Linked DNA regions of Ovis aries. The protein of the gene in region 1 interacts with the protein of each later gene in a biochemical or structural test. Links are inferred from orthologs where the notes say so. Each region holds a gene or a part of one and is shown in the gene's direction. Other genes may lie near its edges.

Region 1 (4,336 bases):
GAAATGTCACTGTAAACACCAATGAACACATAGCATCAACTTCCCTGGGTCTGTCCTCCAGCCACTCCCATTTTTGTCTTCATTTTACTGATAGGAAACCAAACTCAGATTGCATACTGGGCTCATGAGCTTCCTCCAGGATTTTGCAAGTTGAAGGCAAAAATGGATGAAATAAGAGAACAGGCTCCTGCCGCTAGCAGTCCAGAGGTCCTTCCTCGACATCAGCCATCCCTGAGGGATGGTGTCCATTCTCACTTGTGTGGGATGCAAGGCCAAAATGAACAATGCAAAGATCTATGTATCCCATTTAAGTGACTGTCCTTTATTCAGAGATCATGCCCTTTTTCAGTGTTAAAAAATCTTTTTTATTTGTCCATGCCTCTCCACTTGAGGGATCTTAGTTCCCCAACCAGAGATGGAACCCAGACCCTTGGCAGGGAAAGCCCTTAATCCTAACCACTGGATCGCCAGGGAAGTTCTTTAAAAAATAATCTTGGAATTTCTGTGGGAGGATAAGTGGTTATGACTTCGCCTTCCGATGCAGGGGGTGTACCAATCTCTGGTCAGGGAGCTAAGATTCCACACGCCTCACGGCCATAAAACCAAAACATAAAACAGAAGCAATATTGTAACAGATTCAATAGAGACTTGAAAAAAAATCGGTTTGGAAGAGATTATGGTTGGTTACGGCTGATGGTAGGGTTTGGGTCAGGTTGGGAGTGGCGGTGCGTAAGATGGCAAAATGAAAAGTTGGCAACTCTGTGTTGGTCTCTAGAGTATGTTTGGAAATGTTAGACGTCTCAAAGTCTGGGGGCCACTGAGTACCCTCCTCTCTCTCCTCAGGCAGCCTCCAAGCACAAGGTTCCCTTTGCTTTCCAGTCTGGGAGGTCTGCGAGGGCCTAGAGCGAGGGGTGGGGGTGAGAGAGAGATGGGACAGCCTTGATGGGAGAAACCTCTGCTGCCTTTGTGAAGCTGGGGCAGGGTGGGGGTGAGATAATCACCCTGGAATGCGAGGGGCCAGCAGGGGAGAATACCTCTTGAGTGGAGGAGTCCCAGCCGGCCTTGGCAGCCTCTGTGTTTTTCCTCCTTCCTTCCTCTCACCCGCTGCGATGGCACAATGGACAATGGCAGGCACACAATCCCCACGGAGGAGATGGGCCGGTGCAGCTGACCCCGACTCTGGGGACCTGCAAGCCTGTACCCACCCCCTCCCACCCCTATTGGAACCCTTGATCCCTGGCCCTGCAGCCCCCGTAGCTTCCTGTTTGCCTGCTCTATTTGTCTGGCCCCAGGGACAGAGCTGATCCTTGAACTCTGAGTTCCACATCGCCAGGACCAGTGAGCAGCAGCAAGGCCTGGGCTGGGCTTATCAGCCTCTGAGCCCAGCCCTGCCTGGACACATAAATAGGCTGGGGGAGAGCTGGCTGATTAGACTGCTGGCCATTGAGGTAAGTGCTGCTACCCGCTCCCCAGCTCTAGGCATTTGAGGCTCTGGGATGCTGGCCGGAGCCTCTACCCCAGGCTGGGGGCTCTGGACCCCTGGCCCTCCCCACCCTGTGCCCCGCCTCCTCCTCCCTGGCTGGAGTGAGTAGGGGATGCATGGGCTTCTTCAAGCCCTGCTCAGCTGGGCCCCTCTTCTCCTCCAGGTCACCCACATCCCTTCAAGATGAAAGCCGTGGTGCTGACCTTGGCTGTGCTCTTCCTGACGGGTAGGTGCCCCGAACCTAGGGAGCCAACGATTCGGGGGAGGCTTCTCCCTGAACCCCTGCGGACCACCCTCCTGGGCCCAGGAAGCAGAATTACTCCTTTCCACCCCTCTCCCCTGCCAAGCACTTCTGCTTAGATCCCAGCCCAGAGCTGGTCTGATCTGGGTCTCCCCTCTCCTTCCCAGGGAGCCAGGCTCGGCATTTCTGGCAGCAAGATGAGCCACAGTCGTCCTGGGATCGGGTGAAGGATTTTGCCACCGTGTATGTGGAAGCAATCAAGGATAGTGGCAGAGACTATGTGGCCCAATTTGAAGCCTCCGCTTTGGGAAAACAGCTCAAGTAAGAACCCGCTTGTGCCTGGGGCAGGGGTCAGGGGTGTTGGTGCTGGGGGATGGAGAAGCCTGTGGGAAGAAGCAGCCAGACTGGCCCAACCCCCACCTCCTATTTGATGGGCCCCATAGAAGCAAGAAGTGGGATCCACAAGCAGGATCAGGGCCCCCCAGTAAGGGGCAGACCAGCGCTGTCTGGTCAGTATTCTCCGCACTGCACTCTGCCCTTGCCTATTCTTAACTCCCTTCTCAGCTCCAGCCAGCAACAGAGATGGCTGTCTTCAGAGAGGAGAATGGGCTGGAAGAGTAGAGACTAGGTCCTTAAAAGGCCCACCTTTGGGGACAGACAGGATCAGGCACCAAAACCAGCTTCAGCTCTATCTCCTTCTAATTCCTGCATCCATCTGGTCAATGGGATGCAGTGGGGAGTGGGGGGCAGACCGTGGATGGGAGACGCTAGGCTAAGGATCTGTCCCCAGCTACCCCACATTCAGGCACAGGTGTGCCCAGGTCTCACACGGGGCAAGCACGGGCGCTGGGCTGCAGCTCTGGGGGTAGCCAGGGGGCCCAGGAGGTTTAGCCTGAGCCCTCCTCTCTCTCCCCTTTCAGCCTGAAACTCCTGGACAACTGGGACACCCTGGCCAGCACCTTGTCCAAAGTGCGTGAACAGCTGGGCCCGGTGACCCAGGAGTTCTGGGACAACCTGGAGAAGGAGACAGCGTCGCTGAGGCAGGAGATGCACAAGGACCTGGAGGAGGTGAGGCAGAAGGTGCAGCCCTACCTGGACGAGTTCCAGAAGAAGTGGCACGAGGAGGTGGAGATCTACCGCCAGAAGGTGGCGCCGCTGGGCGAGGAGTTTCGCGAGGGCGCGCGCCAGAAGGTGCAGGAGCTGCAGGACAAGCTGAGCCCGCTGGCCCAGGAGCTCCGCGACCGCGCGCGCGCGCACGTGGAGACGCTGCGGCAGCAGCTGGCGCCCTACAGCGACGACCTGCGCCAGCGGCTGACCGCGCGCCTGGAGGCGCTCAAGGAGGGCGGCGGCAGCCTGGCGGAGTACCACGCCAAGGCCACCGAGCAGCTGAAGGCGCTGGGCGAGAAGGCCAAGCCGGCGCTGGAGGACCTCCGCCAGGGCCTGATGCCCGTGCTGGAGAGCCTCAAGGTCAGCATCCTGGCCGCCATCGACGAGGCCTCCAAGAAGCTGAACGCCCAGTGAGATGCCTCGGGCTGCCCCACCCTGGGCATCTCTTCGGTTTCTTAGAATAAACATTTCCGGAGTGGAACGCGCGTGATGGGTTTTTTTTGTTGTTGTTTGAAGATTCGATGATGATTTTTAAACAATAAAGTTTTCCAAAAGCCAAAAATTCTGTTTGGGGAGAATGGGCATGGGGGGATCCTGGAGGGGCCTCCAGGGGGTAGTGGTCAGGGACACCTGGTGATGTCCCAATGGAGTCCTGAGCTCCAAACACTGGCCTCTCAGGGCCTTAATGTTACAGGGACTGCTTGTCTGGGGGCTGAAGGGTGGGGCAGGAGATGCTCTTTCATTAGGAGGCCCAAACAGGAAGGAAAGAGAGGACCAGGCAAAGTGACAGATGATCCAATGCAGGTGCCCTCAAAGAGCTTCAAGCAGGAAGTACTGGCTTTGCTGGGAGAGGTGGGCTCCCTGTGCCCAGCGTTTCTCCCGGCAGAGGACATAGCTCCCCAGCCCTTCTGCTCAAGGGCAGCTGAGGTTGGAGGGACCTCAATGAGCCTGTGGACTTCAAGGTTCCCACAGTAACCTTCCTGTGGTTCCTTCCTAGGGCAGGTTCAAATGAAGGGCTTGGCGCTTGCTCCTTCCTCCCTTATTAATTCAAAATGTACTTTAACAAACACATTCTTTGTCACCAGGGCCTCTTGCCACTCCTCACACTCCCACCCAGCTCCAGAACAGCTGCTGTTTCCTCAGGCTCAGCAGCGCTAGCCCCATCTTCATGGCTCCAAGCCTGCCAGCCCCTGTATTCTGACCTAAGAAAAATAATCACCACCTCTTGCAAGTAACTAGCTCATTCTAATCTCCAAGATGCTTTCATATCCATCATCTCACTGTACGCTTTCCCAGATCCTGGGTGGTATGGATGCAGAAGCTAGAGCTTGGAGATGTGAACTCATTTCCAAGACTGAATAGCAGGATGCCCTAGGTTGCCCTTTCTAAAAATATGTGCCTTTGAGCATCCATGATTATTAAAAAAAAAAAAAAAAAGGCCAGGCATTGAAGTTTGTATGTAATTGAGTGTTCCCAGCCAGCTCCTCTTCACACTAAGGTACACA
Region 2 (4,590 bases), on another chromosome or scaffold:
CTCAGGGCAGGGTCTGACTTGGGGAGAGGCCATCAAGTGGGGGCATCAGAATGACTCACTGCGGCCCCCCTCATTTTCCCTGAGGCTGGGTGATCACGCTGGGCCAGCTTGGCTCCCCACGGCACTGAGGCGACCTCCTCTGGTTGTCCTCAGGCCCAGCTAGTCAAGGACCGGCACTCAGCCCTGCGGCTAGAGAGCCTGTACTCGGACGAGGAGGATGAGTCTGCAGCTGGGACTGACAAGATCCAGATGACATGGACCCGGGACAAGTACATGGCCACGGAACCCTGGGACCCCAGCCACACGCCCGACAACTTCCGGGAGCTGGTGCATATTAAGCCGTGAGTGCAGCAGAAATGGACCCAGCCGTATCCCAGCCTGGGGGTGGGATGGGGGCAGATGAGCCCAGTGGGGTGATCCAGGGTTGGGATCCACGATCAGCCACATTATCTGCAGGGACCAGTCTAATGTGCGGCGCATGCACACGGCTGTGAAGCTCAATGAAGTCATTGTCACACGCTCTCATGACGCCCGCCTGGTCCTACTGAACATGCCCGGACCGCCCAAGAACAGCGAGGGTGATGAGAACTGGATCCTTTGGTGGGGAGATGGGCAGTATATGAGGTCAGGCTGGGAGCTCCTGTCCCTGGATGCCCTGGGCGTTTGCAGGGTACTCCAGCTCTGCTTGATGGGCCAGACTTCCCTGGGTGCTTCCCTGGGCGCTACTTCCTTGACTGATGCCCCACAGACATGGAGTTCCTGGAGGTGCTGACCGAGGGCCTCGAACGAGTGCTCTTGGTACGTGGCGGTGGCCGTGAAGTCATCACCATCTACTCCTGAGCCCAGTATAGACTTGTGGCCTAGAGTGAAGGTATCCAGGGTAACACAAAGCCCCCCTCCAGCACCCACCTGCCAGCCCCACTTTGCCTGGCCTCACCCTGGACCCAGCTTTACTAGGTCTCCTTGGAGACTGGGCCCAGACCTGGCCATGGAGATGGATCTGAGGTCCCTCGGGACCCTGAGAGGTTCGGGGACTTGCCCGTCCAGCACGCCAGGATGCCTGTCCTGACTGGAGAAGACTGGTGGGGGCTGACATGGGGATTGAAGGCAGCTGGCCCGGGAGCGCTATTTATTGCATATTTATTGTTTGGATGTCACCATCAGAGAGGAGGGGAAGGGTGACAAGGGAGGGATCCAGCCCAGCCCGCCTGCAGGAAGATCTGACTCAGCTCCTGTGGGCGGGGACCCCCACCAAGCCAAGTTGAATGGAACCAGCCAGCTGAAGCCTGACTTTTTTCAATAAAACATTGTGTACTTCTGGGCCTCCCGCTGCCCCGGCTCTGTTTCCCCTGGCACGGGGGAAGAAGGCGGGACTGAATCCAGGCCCAGAGCCGGCTCCCTGAGGCTGTGCCCCTTTCCGGCAACCGCTGGCCAGCCCCATTGGCCAGGCTGTCCCTCCCACTGGCCCTGGGGCCCCTCCCACCCCTACTCCAGATAAGGCCAGCCCAGGACCGCTTTACCGGGCACCAGGCACTAGGGCTGGAATGGGGCTGCCCGGCTCCCCGCGGCAGTGGGTCCTGCTGCTGCTGGGGCTGCTGCTCCCCCCTGCTGCCCCCTTCTGGCTCTTCAATGTGCTGTTCCCCCCGCACACCACGCCCAAGGCCGAGCTCAGTAACCACACACGGCCCGTCATCCTCGGTAAGCCCCCGCCAGGCCCGATACACCCGGGATAGCCCTTGGGGAACCAGGGCCCCCGCCCCTGGTAGCACAGCCTGCCGATGCCCTTCTGCCCATGCGTTAGCCCCGATTTTTAACTCAGTGTTTGGAGGGGCCAGAGGCTTGTCCTGAGGAGAAATCCACCCCTTCTCGCACCACACTGTTCCTGTGTCTCCAAGGTGTCTCCCCCAGGTGGGTGGAGTGGCGGGTGGGTGTGCCGGAGGGCTTGGTCAGGGCATTACAAGCTGTGGTCAGCTGTAGCTGTAGCCAGACCCTGGGTCCAGCCCCCTCTCTCCCCCCCGCCGCTCCTTCCTCAGCCCCCACCCCTGCAAGGACGAGGTGCCCAGCCCAGGAGAGCAGGAGAGGCCTGTCAAGTCCTGCCCCCGCTCCCCACACTATTTGTTCTCCTCTTGGACTTTGGCAGAGATGGAGAGTCATGCTAGCTGTTTGCTCTGTGGGGGCAGGGGTCAGTGGCCTTGGCCACTGGATCTTCCCTCTCTGGGGGAGTCTGAGCTTTGGGGAGACGGAGCAGTGGATATGAACAGAAAGGATCTTGTCCTTAGTCTCTGGGGGTTGACGGTGTGTATAGGAGAGGAAGGGGTGGGGCTAGTGACTGTGGTGTCGGGGAGGTGAGGCTAGGGCGGGGTCCACCACAGGGGAATGGGAGGGATCCAGAGTGAAGGCTGGTGCCCGCAGTGCCCGGCTGCCTGGGGAATCAGCTGGAAGCCAAGCTGGATAAACCGAGTGTGGTGAACTGGATGTGCTACCGCAAGACAGAGGACTTTTTCACCATCTGGCTAGATCTCAACATGTTCCTGCCCCTTGGGGTAGACTGCTGGATCGACAACACCAGGTGGGTGCTGTCCCCTCTGGCCTAGTCCCTTGCCCTGCTCCTTGGCCGGGTCTGCTGAATGTCCCACTGCCCCCAGGGTTGTGTACAATCGCAGCTCTGGGCGGGTGTCCAATGCCCCCGGTGTACAGATCCGTGTCCCCGGCTTTGGCAAGACCTACTCTGTCGAGTACCTGGACAGCAGCAAGTTGGCAGGTGTGTGTGTGCTGAGGGAGAGGTGGGGCTCTAGGCTGTGTTGGGCTTGCAGGGGCCATGGCCATAGCCCCTGGTGCTGCCGCCTTCCCCACAGGTTATATGCATACACTGGTACAGAACCTGGTCAACAACGGGTACGTGCGGGATGAGACAGTGCGGGCCGCCCCCTACGACTGGCGGCTGGAGCCTAGTGAGTGTGTCTATGTTTAGGGGGCTTGGGGGGCAGGGCAGAGGCCCCCACCTCCAGCCATGCTGACCCATCCCCGCTGCAGGCCAGCAGGAAGAGTACTACCTGAAGCTTGCTGGGCTGGTGGAGGAGATGCATGCCACGTACGGGAAGCCGGTCTTCCTCATTGGGCACAGCCTTGGCTGCCTGCACCTGCTCTATTTCTTACTGCGCCAACCCCAGACCTGGAAGGACCGCTTCATCGACGGCTTCATCTCTCTCGGGGCTCCCTGGGGAGGCTCCATCAAGCCTATGTTAGTCTTGGCCTCAGGTGAGAGGGCCTGTGATCACTTGGGTCCCATAGGATGTGGGGGCGTGGTGGAAAGAAGCTGACTGTGGGCTAAGCCCTACTCCTGTTTTCTCACAATGCCCAGCTGGGGGGTGTTGTCTACCACTTCTGGGAAATAGCCCCTTTCATTGTCCTTGGAGAGCAGTGAGTCCAGCCTGGACTGTTAGACAAATTGCTGACAGTTTGTCTCAGCGATGATAAAGGGGAGGTAAACAAAGATGAAGTGAATCCCAGCAACCTGACTCATTGCTCAGTCTGACTGAAGTCTGTTCCTTCTGGCCTCAGGTCTACCCACTCAGCTCCCAGGAGGTGCTTTGCACGCGGATCTTCCCTAAGCCAGGCCACAGCAGATCTGCCAAAGCCAGGGCCAGACCCCAGGAGCCCCTCCTGCCCTTCCCTGAGGAGTGGCACAGATACCTCGTGTGGAGCATGTACTGTAGGCTAAGCACACCTGGACATGGTCTTACCCCTAGGAGCTGAAGTGAAGGAAACACCAGACCACATCAATGGGTGTCAAACAGAGATGGGTCTCATTTCATCCTTCCCAGAACACAGCTCTGAGCCCTGTGCAGCACAGGCCACAAGGGTCAACAGACACTTGCCTGAGACAGAACTGCCAGCACTATATCCCCCCAACTCATACTCCCGTCCTCATGAAACACTGCTCCCCTACCCTCCTGTTGTAGCCCTCCAGCTCTGCCTGTCAGAGGTGCCATGGGGGCTTCTCAGTTAACAAGTACACATGAGCACTTCTTGAATGCTAGGCCGGTTCTAGTCTAGGACTTGGAGTCTGTGTTTGGATTGGGTAAGGACAAGATTGAGTGTCCAACTGGCTTGGGCTGGGGGGCAAGTTGTGGGCCTGGAGTAGCCAGGCCTGCTGGCTGGAGTAGCCCTGTCCCACCTTACTCTCTGTCCCCAGGTGACAACCAAGGCATCCCAATCATGTCCAGCATCAAGCTGAAAGAAGAGCAGCGCATGACGACAACGTCACCCTGGATGTTTCCTGCCAGGCAGACGTGGCCTGAGGACCACGTGTTCATTTCCACCCCCAGCATCAACTACACAAGCCGTGACATGCAGCGCTTCTTTACAGACCTGCACTTTGAGGAAGGCTGGTACATGTGGCTCCAGTCACGTGACCTGCTGGCAGGCCTCCCAGCACCTGGCGTGGAAGTGTACTGTCTGTATGGCATAGGCCTGCCCACTCCTAGCACCTACATCTATGACCACGGCTTCCCCTACACAGACCCTGTGGATGTGCTATATGAGGATGGTGATGACACTGTGGCCACGCGTAGCACCGAGCTCTGTGCC
Region 3 (4,623 bases), on another chromosome or scaffold:
AGACATTTGCAGTTAGCAACAGTTAGAAATAGACCTGGAACAACTGACTGGTTTAAAATTTGGAAAGAAATACATTAAGGCTGTATATTGTCACCTTATTTAACTGACATGCAGAGTACATCATGTGAAATGCTGGGCTGGCTGAAGCTCAAGCTGGAATCAAGATTGCCAGGAGAAATATCAATAACTTGAGATATGCAGATGACACCACCCTTATGGCAGAAAATGAAGAGGAACTAAAGAGCCTCTTGATGAAGGTGAAAGAGGACAATGAAAATCAGCCTAAAATGCAACATTAAAAAAACGAAGATCATGGCATCCAGTCCCATCACCTCATGGCAAATAAATGGGGAAACAATGGAAACAGTGAGAGACTTAATTTATTTTCGTGGGCTCCAAAATCACTGTGGATAGTGACTACAGCTGTGAAATTAAAAGACGCTTGCTCCTTGGAAGAAAAGCTATGACAAACCTAGATAGCATATTAAAAAGCACAGACATCACTTTGCCAACAAGGTCTGTATAGTTAAAGCTATGGTTTTTCCAGTAGTCATGTATGAAGGTGAGAGTTGGAACATAAAGAAGGCTGAGTGCCAAAGAATTGATGCTTTTGAACTATGGTGCTGGAGAAGACTCTTGAGAGTCCTGGGGACAGCAAGGAAATCAAACCAGTCAATCCTAAAGGAAATCGACCCTAAATATTCATTGGAAGAACTGATGCTGAAGCTGAAGCTCCAATAGTTTGGCTACCTGATGCAAAGAGCTGACTCACTGGAAAAAACCCTGATGTTGGGAAAGATTGAAGGCAGGAGAAGGGGGTGACAGAGGATTAGCTGGTTGGATGGCATCACTGACTCAATGGACATGAGTTTGAGCAAACTCCAGGAGATAGTGAAGAACAGGGAAACCTGGCGTGCTGTAGCCCATGGGTTGCAAAGAGCTGGACACGACTGAGCAACTGAAAAACAACAATAAAACCATGATAAGCACTACCATTGAGTATAGTTTGCATCTACACTATAGCCTTAACCATTCTGTGTGATTTGTTGGAACAAGCAATCAGAGAAGACACAATGAGTACATTTTACTGATTTCAGGTTGGAGAGCTTTGCAGAATAGGAAGATGGCAACACAGTGTGGGGGACATGATTGTGAAAAGGAAATGTTTACTTGAGAGCCCCGTCTCAACCAGATTGCAGGAGTGTCTCTAATGGATTTGAAACAACCACAAGAAGGGCTTTGTCCAGTGCTGAAAAGCATTCAGAACAAAGAGACCCAGATTGACGGTTCCTGCCCCTGTCCTGCACACTGGCTCATTTCGGGAAACCCTTTGGCAGCTGCATGGGGTAGTGATGTGGCCAGGATTCTTTGGCTCAAGCATGAAGAACACCAGGGGAAACATAAGCATGAAGCAAGAGCTGAAGTCTTTAACAGAGAGGTTGTTTGTGGCTTTGTTACTGGAAAATGTGAGTAACCTTAATAAGGCCAAAGTGTGGAGACACAGCAATTACAAAATCAAGAAGGGGGTGGAGTGAGATACTGGGGACATAAAAGCATCAGCAGGTGCCCCCAACAGCACTCCTCTTCCAGAGCCAGACACACCAAAGATGAGGTGAGTCCACAGTTTGCTCCTATCCCTCACTTTTCTCTGGATTATTTCATCCTTCTTTGGATATATCTTTTATCTACATGACAGCCTGGGTACAGGAGAGGCCTACAGGAGAAATGCAAAAAATATAACGAAGAAAAATAAGGCAAATGGACTAAATCATAGACTTTGTTTGCTTTCTGATGCACAGCGTGCAAGTATCTTTTATCCTCTCAAAGCTTCTCAGGGTTTGTTCTGTCCTTGGCTCTGACTCCTGATTATTTAGGGTGGATCTCACTCTTCTTAGACTTCCCTGGTGGCTCAGATGGTAAAAGCATCTGCTTACAATGTGGGAGACCTGGGTTCGATCCCTGGGTTGGGAAGATCCACTGGAGAAGGAAATGGCAACCAACTCCAGTATTCTTGCCTGGAAAATCCCATGGACAGAGGAGCCTGGTGGGCTACAGTACCACGGGGTCGCGAAGAGTTGGACATGACTAAGCAACTTCACTTCACTTCACTTCACTCTTCTTTGCCTGGGGGAATCTACTCCTGTGTTTGGTTTTAGAGCCAGGAAGCACCAAGGCTCAACCAGTATTTATGATAAGAATTATCTTCCAAATAGTAGTGTGTTTGTAGAGGATCCTCTATGTTCTATGTGCTGCATAAGGTTCTGGAGGAGATATTGGAAATGGATTAAAGCTTGGTCCTTGACTTCTAGGAATTATGAATTTGGAGCAGTCCTCTCAGTCATTACCTCATTGTTTTCCAAATTTCATTCATTTGCACATCAGCTTCAAGGTTCTTGCCATATTCCTGTGCTGCCCATACCACTTCTTTTTGTAACATTCTCCCTGGGGTGTCACTGGCAGCTCAGTGGTAAAGAATCTGCCTGACAATGCAGGATTCGATCCCTAGGTTGGGAAGATCCCCTGGAGAATGGAATGGCAACCCTACTCCAGTATTCTTGCCTGGGAAATCCCAAGGATGGAGGAGCCTGGTGGGCTACAGTCCACTGGGTCGCAAAGAGTTGGGCATGACTCGGTGACTGAGCACACACATAGTGAATAAAGGTTTACTGTGCAAAAATTCTCTGCTTTTCTGTGTCCATAAAAGGTAACGTTTTCAGATGGTGCTGTCTTCTTTCCCATGAGACGTGACTCTCTCTAAGGAATAGCTTTTTCCTTGAGATTATAAAGTTTTCATCTTTGTGGGGAAGCCAGTAGCTCCTGTGGTAGACCTCCTGACGTTTTTTCCCCCTTTTTTGGCCACACCACATGGCTGCGGGATCTTAGTTCTTCAACCAGGGATTGAACCTGGGTCCTTTGCAGTGAAAGCTTTGAGTCCTAACCATTGGACTGCCAAGGACTTCTCCCTGGCATTTTGAATATGCCTATTAGCAGATTAAAAAAAAAAAAAAACATATAATGAGAAAGACCAGAAGCGAAACATTTGAGTGACACAAGGCACTCAGATTTTATCAAAACAGACAAATTTTTTTTCTGAAATGTTGAAATAATGAAACTAGGAACTTAACCAAGCCATCTCTGAGTAGTTGCCATCTTCCAGGGAGATGGTCCACGGGGGGGTATGGCCTGTGCGCTGATGCCCATGTGCACAGTCAAGCTTCTGCGGAGTCCGTTATCATCCAGGTAACCTTCTGGAATTTGGGGGTTCGCTATATGACTTCCTGAAGTCAAATTCTCATAAAATAATAGAAACAACTACATCAGTGTTTTATATTTTAGGGAACCTCTTATTATGAAAAATTCCCCAAAGTAGAGAGAGTAGCATAATGATAAGCCCACCACCACCCCATTGTCTAGATACCCACATTCTTTAGTGGAACCCTCGTAGCCCAGCACCTCAGGGTGCTTCCCACCCCAAGGGAGGCTTCTCTTTGCTGAGGAGCTCATATGTTGTCAACAATTTAGTGTTTCCTGAATCCTGCTACACACTGAGGCCCAATCCCTTCCTAATCTTCCTTGCTCTTCTCTGAAGCTTCTGTAGAATTCCCAGCAGCATGGAACACATGGGAACCTCTGTGACTGGGAAGCTGCTACAGTATGCATGTGGGTGGGTGAGGGGTTTCTAGGTAACAGGAGGGGAGTGTGTGTGTTGAAGCGGGGAGACCAGCAGCGCCCTCCTTTCTGTCTTCTCTGCAGCGTCCTTCCAGCTGTCATCACTCTCCTGCTCTGTGGGCAGCTTCTTGCAGTGGAAACTGGCAGTGAGGCTGCAGGTAGGTCTGCCTCTGGGCGAGGGCTGTACCTGGCCGCATTGCTGCATCCCACTTGGGCCCATCAGATCTGCATGCTCTCCAGGAAAATCCAATTGCTCCTTATCCTGATCTCTGGTCTTTCAGTATCGTAAAGAACATTGGGGAGCCAGCCAGCCAGCAATCTCTCCTGGGCTTCCGTTTGGGGTGTGGGAGGTTGATATGCTGTTTCTTCTCTCCTGATTTTTCCAGTCTCTAGGGGCAGTTTCTGAAAATGAACCTTGTCTTCCTGTTTTCCTTTGCAGCCGGCAGCTGCCCAAAGGCCCCCGAGATTGCCAATGGCCACGTGGAGTACTCGGTTCGCTATCAGTGTGACAAATATTACAAACTGCGTGCTGGAAATGGTAAGCCTGGGCCAATGCCTCCGGGTCCTCCTGTCCCAACCCCGGACTGCCTTGAGACCGTCTCCACTATTGCCACGACTGCCACAGTCACCTTGCCCATTGTCTGTCCTGCTGAGCTTTACTGGCGCCCCCAGCACTTGGCTTTTAGCATAGTGCTCCTGTCTTGCTCCTCTTCCCCAGCCCTCCCTGCTCCTACTTCTCTGACTCTGCCCTTTAAACACCTTCTCTTCTAGTGCTAGGTGCAGCTTTTGGCTCATTTTTTTTTCTTTTTGTTTCAGGGGTGTATACTTTTAACAATAAGCAATGGATAAACAAGGACATTGGACCGCAACTCCCCGAATGTGAAGAAGGTAGGAAGTCAGGCGTGGGAAGCAGATTGAGAGTGGGTACTGGAGGGGTTGGTGCATGGCAGGTAT

Evidence for each region. The genes of interacting proteins can lie anywhere in the genome.
Region 2: the proteins of APOA1 (region 1) and LCAT form a complex in vitro, tested with the Homo sapiens proteins (6 studies listed by BioGRID and IntAct, with this or other methods). The link is inferred for Ovis aries from reciprocal best matches to the Homo sapiens genes APOA1 and LCAT.
Region 3: the proteins of APOA1 (region 1) and haptoglobin form a complex in vitro, tested with the Homo sapiens proteins (2 studies listed by BioGRID and IntAct, with this or other methods). The link is inferred for Ovis aries from reciprocal best matches to the Homo sapiens genes APOA1 and HP.

Annotation. Positions count from the first base shown.
Region 1 is NC_056068.1:27,235,420-27,239,755, reverse strand, and holds APOA1 (apolipoprotein A-I), read left to right. Parts: upstream 1-1,309; 5' UTR 1,310-1,448; intron 1,449-1,646; 5' UTR 1,647-1,666; coding exon 1,667-1,709; intron 1,710-1,891; coding exon 1,892-2,045; intron 2,046-2,644; coding exon 2,645-3,245; 3' UTR 3,246-3,312; downstream 3,313-4,336. UniProt on the Homo sapiens protein: Participates in the reverse transport of cholesterol from tissues to the liver for excretion by promoting cholesterol efflux from tissues and by acting as a cofactor for the lecithin cholesterol acyltransferase (LCAT).
Region 2 is NC_056067.1:34,984,640-34,989,229, reverse strand, and holds the start of LCAT (phosphatidylcholine-sterol acyltransferase precursor), read left to right. Parts: upstream 1-1,544; coding exon 1,545-1,698; exon of another isoform or gene 1,699-1,908; intron 1,909-2,412; coding exon 2,413-2,569; intron 2,570-2,645; coding exon 2,646-2,761; intron 2,762-2,855; coding exon 2,856-2,951; intron 2,952-3,033; coding exon 3,034-3,258; intron 3,259-4,195; coding exon 4,196-4,590. Other genes in the region: SLC12A4 (solute carrier family 12 member 4), read left to right, coding at 154-341, 457-772. UniProt on the Homo sapiens protein: Central enzyme in the extracellular metabolism of plasma lipoproteins.
Region 3 is NC_056067.1:38,561,923-38,566,545, reverse strand, and holds the start of haptoglobin, read left to right. Parts: upstream 1-1,577; 5' UTR 1,578-1,607; coding exon of another isoform or gene 1,608-1,612; 5' UTR 1,613-3,178; coding exon 3,179-3,240; intron 3,241-3,753; coding exon 3,754-3,827; intron 3,828-4,108; coding exon 4,109-4,207; intron 4,208-4,485; coding exon 4,486-4,557; intron 4,558-4,623. UniProt on the Homo sapiens protein: As a result of hemolysis, hemoglobin is found to accumulate in the kidney and is secreted in the urine. Haptoglobin captures, and combines with free plasma hemoglobin to allow hepatic recycling of heme iron and to prevent kidney damage.